Linked DNA regions of Lytechinus pictus. The protein of the gene in region 1 binds, or shares a complex with, the protein of each later gene. Links are inferred from orthologs where the notes say so. Each region holds a gene or a part of one and is shown in the gene's direction. Other genes may lie near its edges.

Region 1 (7,085 bases):
TATGTTTCTTTGATTTTTCTCTTTGATATGGATTCAGCTGGTTTCAAGGGTTTCATTCTCCTTTAACACGTCCTTTTCGATCAGATCAAAACGTATATTAAAAATTTCTGCTCGCGCTCGCAGTAATTATTTGGTTGTTAATTGTTCAGGATCACAAACATACATGGACCTGTCCACGGAGGATTATTCTATTGTTACTGGGGGTGCTCAGGCTGAGCATTGTCGCAGCACCCCCAGTAACAATAGATAATCCTCCGTGGCCAGCTAGGTCCTTGCAAACATATACCCATCGAATGTTCTAATTTTAGGATCGACAACATGCATAAAACAATGATTAAAAAAATTAGCTCCCGATTTAAAAAAGGTGGTTTTGAAAGACTGGTCAATGGTCAATCGCGGGGTCAAACGTATATATTTATTTTAGGGTATGTTTGAAGCTTTTCATTCGGGCCCCGCATTCGGGTCATATTCTGGCGACAACTTATATAAGGAGCCAAAATGTGTAAATGAGCGAAGCCCGCGAAAAACTTGTTTATAGTCCAGGATAGAAGAGGCATAACCTTGTTTTTTCATATATACAATATTTTTTCATGGTTTCTTGTCAATTCGAGGGTGCTGATTACGAATCTGAATGATGCCACTTGTGTAACCTTGAGCATTTTCCGCAAATTGGCAAAATCCAATATGGCCGCCAAAATATGCAAATTACCCATGAAAATCATAAAATTGCCAGCAGACTGGCTACAAAATGTATTTAATTGTGTTGCAGGAGTGACATAATCTCTGAAAAAACGATTTTTGAAAAAAATATTTATTTTCTTCATATTAAAAATGGCCGCCATATACCCTATTATGTACAATGTGAATAGGGAAAAATATTTTTCACAAAAATATTCCCTAAACTGCAAGTAATTGTGATATATGGACGAAGTAATGTATGTAAATCATCAATGTTAACAAGATATATCATTTATCATGTCATGTATGGGAAAATTGTTGTATTTTATATTCAAAATAGCCGCCACTGGCCCAAAAAGTATTATGTACTACAGCAAAGGGGGCAAAAACAAATCACAAGAGTTAGCACTAAAATGCATATTATTAAAGTAAACGAGTGGAATGCTGACTAAAAACATAATTGTTCACAAAATATATTATTTAATATGCCATGTATGTGATAAATGTTGTATTTTGATATTCAAAATGGCCGCCAAAGGCCCTTAAAGTATTATGTACAATGGGAAAGAGGACCAATGAAATCACACGAGTGAGCACTGAAATGCATTTATTTGTGATAAATAATTGGGATACTGTCTAAAAAAACATAATTTTTAACGAAATATATCATTCAGGTTTTAAGTTTGTGTTATGATACTTTATTTTGACTTTCAAAATGGCCGCCATAAACATATATTGTATTATGTACAATGCGAACTAGGAAATCAATTTTCACAGGAGTGAGCACCATAAATGCACGTAATTCTGATCTATGAGTAAAATATTGTCTGAAAGTACAATTTCTAACAAAATATATCAGTTCTCCTGCCAGGTAGGTGAAAATACTGGATTTTGAAAGTCAAAATGGCCGCTACAGGCCCTAACATTATTATGTACAATGTGAATGGGGACAAATGATTTTAACAGATTTTCGCTTTGCTTGACTAAAAGGTGGTGTATGAGTGAAATATTGTCTAAAAACATGATTACTCACGAAATATATCATATTATATAAAATTTATGTGATTAATGTTATATTTCAAAATTGAAAATGGCCGCAATATGCCCTTGTGTGAAAATTCTCTGTCCTCATTCAAATTGTACATTATACAGTAAGGGCCTATGGCGGCCATTTACGATTTCAGAATGCAGCATTTGCCACCTTAATTACACCAGATATGATATATCTCGTTAGTAACCATGGTTTTAGACAATATTTCACTCTAACATCACAATTATATGCAATTCTTATAGTCAAGCAAAGCCAAATTCTGTCGAAATTATATGTACCAAATTACAATGTACATAACACTTTTAGGGCCTATGACAGCCATTTTGAATTTCAAAGTACAGCATTTATTACCTCCATGAGCAACATGGGATGTATTTAGTTAGAAATCATATTTAAGACAATATTTTTACTCGTACATCACAGCAACATGCATATTTTATGATTACCACTGAAAATAAGTTTCCCTAAACGCATGTAGCATAATTTAGTTAAAGGAGAATGAAACTCTTGGAGCAAGTTAGCTTTTGTGAAAGCAGAAAAATAAAAAAATAAGATCAACAAAAGTTTGAGTAAAATAGGACTAGCAATAAAAGAGTTATGAGCATTTGAATGTCGAGATCACTAATGCTATGGAGATCCTCCCATTGGCAATGCGACCAAGATCTGTGATGTCACACACGTACAACTCTCCCATTTGGACACTGAAAATATACCCCAAATATTTCTTTTTGCTCATTCTAATCATATGACAAACGATTCATCAATGATATAATGTTGTGAAACCTCTGTACTTGTCATCTCATAAAGAGAACACCTCACCTTGTGATAGACTCTATAAAAGTGAGAATATAAGTGAAATAAGTACTAAAGTAATGAGGGAGTTGTACGTGTGTGATATCACAGATCTTGGTCGCATTGCCGATGGGAGGATCTACATGGCACTAGTGATCTCAATATTCAAATGCTCATAACTTTCTTATTATTCATTCAATCTTCCTCAAACTTTGAACAATGTGTTCCTTTGATTTTTCTCTTTGATATGGATTCAGCTGGTTTCAAGGGTTTCATTCTCCTTTAAGGCTTGTAGCGGCTATTTTGAATGTCAAAATACAGTATATATCACTTACATGGCAGAAGAAATGCTATATTTCATAAAAATCATGCTTTCAAATAATATTTTACTCATACAAAAGGATTATATGGATTTCATAGTCAAGCAAATCCAAATTCTTACAAAATTATATGTCCCCATTTACATTGTAGATAATACTGTTAGGGCCTATAGGGGCCATTTTGAATTTAACAATACAGCATTTATCTCATGCATGACTAGAGAAATGATATGTTTAGCTAGAAAACGTGTTTTCAGACAATATTTTACTCGTATATCACAATTACATGCATTTTATGTACTTATTCTCGTGAAAATGAGTTTCTCCATTCGCATTGTACATAATGTATAATGGGCATATGGCGGCCATTTTGAATTTCAAAATACAGCATTTATCACATAAATTGCATCTCAAATATTATATTCCGTTAAAATTGAATTTTTAGCCAATATGCCACTCACTTATCTTAATTATATGCATTTTAGTACTCACTCTTGTGATTTTCTTTTGTCCCCATTAACATTATACATAATACTGTCAGGGCGTTTGGTGGCTTTTTGAATACTAAAATGTTTCATTTATTACACATATGACATAACAAATGATATATTTCGTTAGCAATCATGTTTTCATCCATTACTTCACAAAAAATCACAACTACTTGCATTTAGTGCTCACTTTTGTGAAAATTATTTTCCCCATTCATATTGTACATAAAGTTGAATACAGCGGTCTATGGCGGCCATTTTAAATATCAAGAAAATACATATTTTTTTCAAAAATCGTTTTTTCAGAGAGTATTTCACTCCTGCAACACAATTACATACATTTTATAGCCAATCTACTGGCAATTTTATGATTTTCATGGGTAATTTGCACATTTTGGCGGCCATATTATTTTGCCAATTTGCGGAAAATGCTCAAGGTTACACGAGTGGCATCATTCAGATTCGTAATCAGCACCCTCGAATTGACAAGAAACCATGAAAAAATATTGTATGTATGAAAAAACAAGGTTTGGACAATTTTCTATGGGGCCTATCCTGGACTATTACGGGGTCATTTTGCACACAGAAAAAAACTCGTTTTTTTAGGGGGGTGTTTGGAAATAATTTGGTCACGCATGTGTGCAGCAATACATTTGACTTCCCCCAGCCCCCCCCCCCCCGGGATTTTTAGACATTTTTATTCTCGCGCGCTTGAAAGATATGGGTCTATGGCGCATGCGCATATGAAAAATTGGCCCATGGCGGCCATCTTCGGAAATAGTACACGCTCTCTAAATTACGTCAGGTTCGTTTAGTTTTAATTTCGTTAATACCACATTTCATTCTGTATCATTCTATTGTATTGATTCCGTCAATAAAGATCTTTATTTTTTGTTAATTTCAAAGCGTTTTGGATATTTGAAGAATAAATATCATTCAATCTTTGTAGCAGATGTTGCACGTTAATGTCAAGTAGGTTCTTCATCTTGGTCCCAGTCGTTCAAATACATGTATGGTAATAAGTAGACCAAAAGCTTCGGTCTCTGTTATGTTGGTTGTTCAGCTGAACTCCGTTGGCTTCACTCACCAAATACAGAGACCGAAGTTCTAGCGCGATCTGTACAGGGGACTCAATGGCCATATGTTTATGTACTTAAGATCGGATAAAACGGGGAAGTGAATTTGCGCGACAGCCGAGGTAAGTCACTGTTTTTGTTCCTTTTAACTTGATTTTTCTCAGTTTTTTGGCAATTAATGCCAAGAGGGAATATTAATTTGCATTTTGGTCGCGTTAATTTGCAAAATTTTTATTCATTAAATACAAAAATTGAAGAGCCCCGACGGGGGGATTTTGCATTGCAAGTCCCCTAATGGTGGCTGCACGCTAGCGAGCCGTCTGTGTACGACTACGAGGAGAAATTTAAAAAAAAAAAAGTTAAAAAACTCCTCGAAACAGACGGCTGCCAGCTGTCTAGGTAATAAGGTGCCCGAACTGAAGGAAAAGTCTGCGCAGTGCCAGTGGCTTTTTTCTGCCTGCGCCTAACTTACATGTATGATGGGGGGACCTAAAGCTACTTACTTTGTTTTCAAACGATATAGACTATGCCAATTTTAATATTTGAACAAAAATATATCGGGTCAACTCGGACCACGGGACATCTCGGACCGCGGGCCGAGTTGTCCCACCCATTACGAGATTTTTTTTCTCACAAATCTGCGTCTATTTTTCCGTCATTTCGTAATTTCTTGTAAAGATTTTCTAGAGATATGGTCTGATGGTAATGTTCTTCACTTTCTATTACTTTTTTTCGCTGAAATAAAAAAAAAGGTGTAATTTTAGGCGTTTTTCGACAGCTCGCGATTCCCATAGGCGCGCGTGTATTAACCGTGTCGGTGCTCGGCTCGGCCCCACTCAACAACTGACTTGATTTTGTGATCATTTCTCCTCAAGTTACCACTTTTATCGCAGAAGATGGACTTTCTTGTATTCCATTAACTCCATTTTCTCATCACAAGAATAAAATTTGGTGCATTTGCACGATTTTGTTAAAGTTTTTCACCTTTTCTCTCTGGTCGCAAGAAGCGAACAACCGATGAACGGTCCGCTGCTCTTCATCGCAATTCTACGTAGCTCGGCCGCCTAAACTGGCGGGGTGGGATTCAGCCCGAATCCTCAATGGAAGTGGGCGTGCACAGTCAAAGAGCTGAGCTTGACTGAGTGAGAGAGTGAACTAGAGCTTGAAGTTTGGCAGTGTCGTATAGGCTCTGCCTTTTTTTGTAAATATTTATATATTTTTTTATTTTCCCTGGTGTAGAGCTTTAAGATAATAATTTAATATACTTCAATTTCTTTGACTGAGTGTGACTGTGGTGTGGATGTTTGAGTCGCACAAAAAATACTTTTACGAGGGTGGGGGCTCGGGGCGATTTCACTCCTGCCCCCGAAATGTGAAAAAAATATTCGCAGTGTAGATGTGTGGGCATGCCGTGCTGAGGGTAGCCATCAATAATAAATGTTTATTTGGGGGCTTAATTTTTAACTTCAAATTGATTATTTTTAGGCCTATTTTTTTTTTCATTTCATTTTATTTTTTTATATTGAGTGTCCCTGGTGTAGAGAGCTGAGTTTTAAGTTGTAATAATCAATATGCTTCAATTTCTTTGACTTTGAGTGTGACTGTGGTGTGGATGTTTGAGTCGCACAAAATATACTTTTACGAGGGTGGGGGCTCGGGGCGATTTCACTCCTGCCCCCGAAATGTGAAAAAATAAATATTCGGGGTGTAGCTGTGTGGGCATGCCGGGATGAGGGTAGCCATCAATAATAAATGTTTATTTGGGGGCTTAATTTTTAACTTCAAATTGATTATTTTTAGGCCTATTTTTTTTTTCATTTCATTTTATTTTTTTATATTGAGTGTCCCTGGTGTAGAGAGCTGAGTTTTAAGTTGTAATAATCAATATGCTTCAATTTCTTTGACTTTGAGTGTGACTGTGGTGTGGATGTTTGAGTCGCACAAAATATACTTTTACGTTGGTGGGGGCTCGGGGCGATTTCACTCCTGCCCCCGAAATGTGAAAAAATATTCGCAGTGTAGATGTGTTGGCATGCCGGGCTGAGGGTAGCCATCAATAATAAATGTTTATTTGGGGGCTTAATTTTTAACTTCAAATTGATTATTTTTAGGCCTTTTTTTTTTCTTTTTTTATTATTTTTATATTGAGTTTCCCTGGTGTAGAGAGCCGAGTTTTAAGTTGCAATAATCAATATGCTTCAATTTCTTTGACTTTGAGTGCGACTGTGGTGTGGATGTTTGAGTCGCTCAAAAAATACTTATACGTGGATGGGGGCTCGGAGCCTCTTCACTCCTGCCCCCGAAATGTGAAAATGTTCTAGGTGTATCTGTGTGGGCATGCCAATTTCATTTTTATTTTTTATATTGAGTTTCCCTGGTGTAGAGAGCCGAGTTTTGGAGATGGTGAGAGGGGCGAGGATGTGAGGGATGGCGATGATGAGGGGTGGGCCTTGATGATAAGAGGGACGAGGAGGTGAGAGATGGTGATGATGAGAGGGATGATAATTTTTGATGACTCTTAATGAGAGGGGGGGGGGGTGATGAGAGGGATGAAGGTAATGAAAGAGATGGAGATGAGGATGATGAAACGGACGAGGATGTGAGGGATGGCGATGATGAGGGATGGGCCTTGATGATGAGAGGGACGAGGAGGTGAGGGATGGCAATGATAAGAGGGATG
Region 2 (8,015 bases), about 7.5 Mb from region 1:
GATTTAAGGCGAATATTGATTTATGTGTGTGTGTTGTGTTTTTTGGTTGAAAATACTATTTTCAATCTCAAAATAGAACAGGCTTCTCGCACGGTCAATGTAAGCCCAAACATAATATTAGTCTGGACCTATATTATGCATGCATATTGCTTAGACGTGTATAAAGTGAAAAAAATAAACAAAACTTAATATACACCCTGGTTTTCGGCATGAATATTTTACAAAATTTATAGGCAATTTCCAAATTTTAAGCAAAGACCTTAGAAATGTATAAAGCATTGCTGTATAAACATTTATTCAAACTTTAAACAACACATGATCAGCCCATCAACCGAGTGAGTTAACTGTTATACCCTGATTATGCATGGATCACAAAGTCAGAAAAACAAGCCATGGTATGCTGGTATGGAAGAACACTTGAATTCTTAAAAAAAATATTTACAAAAGATGACGTTGGAAACAAACTCCGGAGTAAAAATGACCGGTGTGGTCCTTTATACTTTATAAATCTAAACAGAAAAAAAAACATTGTTTACAATGTTACAAATCCGTTTAATCTATGGACTTTACAACTGCCTCCCCCCCCCCTTGAAAGTGAAGACTTTTTTTTTGCTTGTTAAACTTCTTTGTGGACGAAATGTCCTTAACTTTTTCTTAAAAACTTTTTTTTCCTTGTCAAATTTTTCCTCGGCAAAATGTGCCCCTCCCGCCCTTTGGAAAATCCTGGATCCGCCCCTGGCCTTTACAGTAGTTGTGTAAACAAGTGCTTAAAATCTTAAACAACTAACATTTTCAATATTTAATCTTCACTAGATTAAACATTCTTGTTTTAAACTGTTATACAGCTGTTTGAAAGTTCATATAGTAAACAGCGTTGTATAAATATTAAACAACGCTTTTACTGTGTAAACCAAGTTTTTGCTGCGTGAAATAATTTTCCTACCTTCTTGTTTGTATCTTCGTTGTACTCATCTTCCATTACTTTAATCATGGTGTCCTTTAATTGAAAATAATACGACCTTTCAGCGCGCTTGGAAATGACATTAGATGCCATCGTGGCTCCTCCAGAAAAGAATGTCAGTATAATGGTTTGCATAATACAGTTATATATAGGCTCTGATTAAATAATATATTTTATGACGGCGACAATGAAAACGGAATTTAACTATTTCTCGTTATATTGAACGATTCAAGGCTGCTGAACAGATTTTTGAACAATGAAGCTTTAAATCTTTGTCATTGACATACAAAAGATTGACCACAGCGACTGACGTCAATAATGATCAAGGCCATGCAGTGCCAATGCAAATCCATTGAATATAACGATTTTTTTACTTTGTTCCCATCATTGTCCTGATTCTTTCATTATTTTTTAATCCTATTTCATCATACCCTATGTTATGTTTTTCCGTTTTTGTTTTGTTTTCTTCCCACTTTCTTCAACATTTTTCAAGTAATTTACATGGAAAGGTCTGCCTTCGCGCCCAAGCTTTGATTTCCAGTTGGTTCTTTTTTGTTCTAGATTATTTGTTGTTTTGCATTATAAATGTTTGTTGAAATTGAAGTGAAAAAATAATAAATTCAACAAATGCGAAACAATCAATCAATCAATCAATATTTGAATTATAAACAGAGACGGTGGCACCACGGGGAGGGGGGGGGGAGAAGGAGGAAAATGGGGGCAAAAGAGGAATAAGATAAAAACCAATAATAAAGTGAAATAAAGATAAAAGGAAGATGACTAACGAGAGGTCTGTGTTGTGTAACTCTGTAAAAAGCTGAAAATATCTCAATAATTCAATTGAGAAAAAAATATGACGACATCTTTATGCCTCTCCCCCCCCCCTCCCTCCATCAATATACCCTGGTCTGTATATATGCATACATCCCTTTCTGTGTTCATAAAAAGTCCGTTTAATTGCAATATATCTAGAGATTTTATGTAATTTATCTTCACAAGTTTGAGATATGACTAGAGCAAAAGTAAAGCGCGCACCTGCCACTACCTCCACACCCCCCCCCCTCCCCTCCCCCTCTCTCTATCTCTCTCAGATATACACAAGTAGGTAGTGTTATTCAGGATTCGGAGATCCATTGGTCCAATGGCATAAACTTTTTAAATACAATTATTACAATATAAAAAAGGGTACTTATGATCCATAGCATACCAACCATCAATGAATAAGTTCAAGTCCGCGAAAGGCAAACGCAGCATTAAACATGTTGAATGCATTATTGAAACAATTAAAAAGAGAAAGACCGTCATGATTAACAAAGTCGGTAATATGACCAAAAATAACAATAAACAATAAATTTGGCCGGATCTAAGGATGTGGTCAATATATACATAAAATTGTCTCTAAAATTCCTCATTCTGGTCACGATCACAGACAACTTGAAGGCCAAATTTGTCATTTCCTTTGCGACCTTCCAAGTGGTTATTTGATCTTTGGTCCAACAGTCAACAGTTTCTAATCCAATCCAAAGGTCATTTGATATGTCGCCTTTTCCTTTCAGTTACAAAGCGCTGCGCACACACTTCTCCATATTTGGGCAACTAACTAAAACAATATTATAATTAAACACCTCAAAAATGGTCAGCTTAGTCCATGCAATTCATTGTCCTTTATAGCAAAATGCTAATGGCAATGGTTTAGCAAACGGCTCTTTTCTAATGGCAATAGTAATGGTTTAGCAAATGGCTTTTTTCTTATGGCAATAGTAATGGTAGTTAGCAAATGGCTTTTTTCTAATGATAATAAGGGCTATCGGATCCAGATTTCCACAAGTGCCGGAATCAGGGGGCAGAAAAGTGTTCTGAGAATAAATTGTTTTAAAAACAACAAAAAGGGGTTCCCGTCCCGGCTCCCAATCTCCTGATTGCCTTAAAAAGAGTATACATGCAAATAAGGGGGGGGGGGGTGGTCCCGATCACTATACACCCTCCCCCAAAAAAGAGAGAAAAATATCACCACTATCTACAACAACAATAAAACTCAGAATTGGGGACGTAATTTTCACCCTCACTGCCAAAGGATTTAATGCAAGTGGTACTTCCATACTCTATGGGTGACATGGGAATAAATGTCATCGTCATTGTCAGCTTTGGACGAGGGCCACGCGTGCACTAGCTCGTTATTAAAAGGTATCAAAAACACAGATTTAAAAAAATTGTGGTTTTGAAAGACTAGTGGTCAATGGTCAGTCGCGGGGTCAAACGTATATAGAGTATATTTTTTTTCCAAAGTTTTTTTTTTTTTAAGACTAGCCAAACGTATAAGTTATGTTTTTTCCCCTTAGCATTTCCCCGGGTTTTTTTATTATTACCTGGTGAATTTTGGATGACACTTATTTAGAGTGTTAATTAGTTTAGGCCTATTCTCTAACTGCACTGGGGGTAAGCAATACCCATGAATAAGGTTTTTCTATAAACTTAATTGTTAGCAAGTAAACAAAACTTGTTTAGGGGTCATATATTCTGGCGACAACTTGTTTAGATCCAGGAGCCAAAATGTGTAAATGAAGCCCGCGAAAAAAAACTTGTTTAGGGGGTTATTTTGCACAATAATTTGGTCACGCATGTGTACAGCAATACATTTGACTGCCCCCCGGCCTTTATTGGGCCTATTTTTTTTTTTTTCGTGTCAAAGATTTTGGATGTGGAAAAAAAAGTTGGCCTATATAATTGCTGACTCAGTTGCGGTCAAACTGTACTGCTGGCATTAAAAAGAAAAAAGAAAAAAAAAACGTCTGGCTGGATCCGCATCCGAAAAAAGAAAAAGAAATGTACATGTAATTGCTAATCCAATTACCTGATATAATTCCTATGGTGTGGTCTATAGTGTGGAACGTATTTGAAGTTCTGCCAGTGAAATTTAAATCACATAACGCTGAAACTATTTGAAATATCATAAGTGCAAAATAAATTATCATGTAGGGCCTATACAATGAGTTACCCTTTGTTTTGACGTCAATTTTCCCTGTTTTAATTTTGGATTGGTATTTTACTCATTTCATTGTGTTGTTTGTACACACCCTTCTCTCTATAGATCTCTTGTCACTAGCGTACCTAAGGGGGGCAGGGGGAAGACTGCCCCCCTGACGAGTCACAACTCATGCAGGGGACGTAACCCTGCCCCCCAGCCCCCCCTGACGAGAACGTGAAGACCTTTTTATTTATTTATTTTTAAATTTGCTTGTGCAATTTTTTTTGTGGTTGAAGACCTTTTTTTTCTCCTTTTTTTTTGCTTGTCAATTTTTTTTTAACCTTTATTTGTGGTTGAAGACCTTTTTTTTTGGTGGGGGGGGGGGGGGCCGGGGCTTGTCTAAATTTTTCGCGGACGAAATATCCTCCAAAAATTTTTCCCCCCTTCTGGAAAATCCTAGGTACGCCAGTGTCTCTTGTTTTACTTTGCAATCTCAACACTTTTCCCTTTGTAAAAATCTTTATAGGCCTATCATTTTCTTGTTCTTTTTCGATTGCCGCTGTCTTAATATGTCTTTCAAAATATTAATATCTATATCTTTATTATTTCTCTCATATTGCTTATTTGTATATTTCCTTTGTTCTTTTTCTGTAGACTTAGTTTTGTAATCTTATTTAAGTTCTTTACACGTATCATATCCTATAATTTGTTCTGGCAATAGCTTATTAGCTTTATTCCCGGCATTATTCTTTATAAGCTTTCCTCTTTCTTTCAAAATGTCATCAGTTTTGTGTGAGTTTTTTTAAAACCTGAATCCTTCAATCCTATATGTAACCCCTTAATTCTATGTTTGTTGTGTTGAAAGTTTGTTTTATCTTGTTATTTTTTTTAAAACTACCATGTAAAAAGTCTAGGTCTCACAATAAAAGAAATAAAAGAACTATGTGGACGGGAAATATAGTTTTGCATACACGGGTCCAAAGATACTACCCCTTGTTTGTAGAATCTTTGACGGTACGACAAAGTGTAAATAGTCGAACTTTGCGGCTTGCCGCCGATCTCCGAAGACCGGAGGAAGAAAATATACAAGGACAAGTTAGTACGCCGTGCAAGTAGTCGGTAACTTCAGCTGTATCGTCATCATAGACCTTCATCTCCGGCGAATGGTTGTAAATCACCAATTTATTACAGGATTTTTCAGGATTTTCCATCTTCATATTATATGCGTACTCTATTTTACTATGGGTTACTCTAATAAACTTACAGAAGAAGAGGAAATGCTCCAGAAAAAGTTCGCAAAACTAAGGAAGAAGGTAATCGCAACTCATCATACTGTCCCATACATATGAATTTGTGTTTGTAAATTCTAGGCCTATACAAATTTAAGTCGCACTGATGACTGAACTCAGTCAAGCCAATAGGCTAATGAATAGGCAATAAGGGTTCATTATGCCGCGCCGCCGGGCCGTGCACGGGAAAATCAAGGCACGACGCATGAAACTTTCACTATGAGCTGATCCTTCCACTTCTTTGCCTTTGGAGATACCTGGGGTCCAGATAAAACGCTTCCATGCGATTTCACGAAATAATTTTATACGAAATCTAAGATTCTAACGTTAAAATCTAAATTCTAATCAAAATTCAAATTGTTCCATTTGAAATTAATTTAATGGAACAATTTGGAATTTGAAATGCCAATGCAGCCAGTGCCAGTGGGCTTTATTTCAATTTGAAATGGCATGGTGTTTTCATCTTACCTTCTTAGTTAGGCCTATGTAGTCTGCATTACACGAAGAACTTTCCCCATAGGCACACAGTAGACGGATTCCCTGCACGCTGATTGGCTGATCGCGCGACCCTCTTCCCTTCCTCGCCCAGCGCTGTGTGTGAGAATCTTTACACCGCGCGATCGGCTGACTCACGGAGCACAACACTCTGTCGGGTAAAGATGCCAGCGTGTAGATTTCGGGCGCATGTTCGGATGATATCGGCACTTCGGCAGGCAGTGTCCGAAGTCTAAGCAAAACATGTGGTTTTCATCGGGTTACGCAAGGCCGAAGGTCGCTTGCATAAATTGTATTTGCATAGAGTACAGTGCACAGCGTATTTATAATGTACATGTATACTTGTCTGTACTGAATTCTGCGTTGCCCCCGCGATAGATGAATTTCCTGGTAGCCTGCCTTATGATTAGATGCTCGGCGCAGACTTCATTAATTAACTTTGTTTTTTAATAGAATCATTTGATGTTATAAAAGAGTGTATTTGTAGGATGTTTGAACCCTGAAAGGCAGTACATTACTACATTTTATTAGAGCATATTATAAGTTGTATTTTCTGTGTGCTTACGAGAATTCATGTACTTGTGACACTTTGTCTGGAGTGTGGGAGTGCTTCTAGACTAGCATGAGTCTACCCAGTTGTATGGACAGGTTGTGTGTCCGGACGATCAATTTTAGAAAGTCATTTGGAAAAATTTACAAGCGAAGTTTCATCAATTTTTAGTACAAGATATTAGGAAATATTATGGAGAACAAGATGATTACAACCATTGAATTCATACTTTTAGTGTAATGCAAAGACAAAAAGAAGGCTTCAAAAATATAGTGTCCGGACGCCCGACCCCCCCCCCCCCTCCCCATCGTACAACTACGAGAGTGAGAACGAATGTGACGTGATTGTGTGTTATAATTTTCATATTCTATTTGACTTAATTGTTGGTTTATAATTCAATTATTTTTCATTAACTATTTGACAATTTTCTGTTTTGCTGGACAATATCATTATAAGAGTTTGAGTATTCAATATCTTTGTATTATGCATTTCTACTCGAGCTAAGGTGTTTCATCAACTTTCAGACAGGAATCTTAGAAATCAATTTTAACAGAAAATATTTTTTTGTCTAAAATTGATTTTACATGATATATCAAAGTGATTGTTTTCAGAAAGGTGGTTTAATCAACGATCTAAAATGGGATTATTTAAAATTCACAATAGTCATATAAAATATATTTTCTATATTAAAAAATTATTTTCATTGTCAATATATTGAGATTGAAGAAACACATGTAATTACAATGACTGAAATGTTTTAACATTATTACAGCTAGTATTATTGTTCTACTGAACAATTCAATAAAGATATTGAGCTATTAACTTTTTGTTTATTTCGTTCATGTTCACGAAAATATTATACTTTTGCATTTTATTGGAAAATGAAATACTCTCCCTCCCCATACCATCTCCCCCAATTCCCTCAGTCCTAAACGTTGTTTACAATAAATGGTTATCATTTAATACCAATATAGGGTTTTTGGTGGTTTTTCCTCACTCCGATGTGCTGAGAAAATAGAAATTCCAAAAAAGGGGTAGACTCCGATCTCCCTGGTCTAATCATGGACTAATTATCTGGATGCCGATGGTAATGTAATTTTCTTACCCATTTTGAAACATGGTGCATAATAATGGAATGTTTATATTAGATGACAAGAATATATCTGACCTCTATTATATCAAAGTGCAAACAATATTTTATGTAATAGCTTTCAGGCTTTAACATGTCACAGCCACGGCAATGGTGACATTTCATGAAATAATTGTGAATGTATTTATGAAGATATCGTCAGTACCTAACAATGTAAATAAGATACCATATATGTAACCGTATGTTATCTATGGTGATTGGGAAATCTATACCTTGGATCGGGAGGGGTACGTGATTCAACAGATTCCAATAGAAGTTCACATTCAACAATCTGACAAGACTTCATGAAGCATATTTCTGATGGAATTGAACAATTCATCGAAAGATATAGATATCATGTTAATTGATTTGTCTGAACGTTTAGGAGCATGTATTTCGTCTGTTCACCCCTATCTCTACACGAGTTGATACTATTTTTATTTGAATATCGTTGGAAATTTCGATGAATTGTTCAATTTCAATTGTCTTTATATATTTTATATCTGAATAACGCTTCAAAAATAGTTATCTTTACAACGGCATCGGCCTAATTTGTAAGAGTGCCTATTTATGAAATGATAGTTGGAATGTGAACAAGAACACTCGGCCCTAAAGCCGATGGCACG

What was found. Proteins that work in one complex are often made in the same cells at the same time.
Region 2: negative elongation factor B-like (region 1) and negative elongation factor E-like share a complex: the UniProt entries of both Drosophila melanogaster proteins name them as parts of the NELF complex. The link is inferred for Lytechinus pictus from reciprocal best matches to the Drosophila melanogaster genes NELF-B and Nelf-E.

The regions. Positions count from the first base shown.
Region 1 is NC_087259.1:18,429,835-18,436,919, forward strand, and holds the start of negative elongation factor B-like, read left to right. Parts: upstream 1-4,066; 5' UTR 4,067-4,134; intron 4,135-7,085. UniProt on the Drosophila melanogaster protein: Essential component of the NELF complex, a complex that negatively regulates the elongation of transcription by RNA polymerase II.
Region 2 is NC_087259.1:10,932,724-10,940,738, forward strand, and holds the start of negative elongation factor E-like, read left to right. Parts: upstream 1-5,009; 5' UTR 5,010-5,089; coding exon 5,090-5,239; intron 5,240-8,015. UniProt on the Drosophila melanogaster protein: Essential component of the NELF complex, a complex that negatively regulates the elongation of transcription by RNA polymerase II by RNA polymerase II. The NELF complex, which acts via an association with the DSIF complex, causes transcriptional pausing.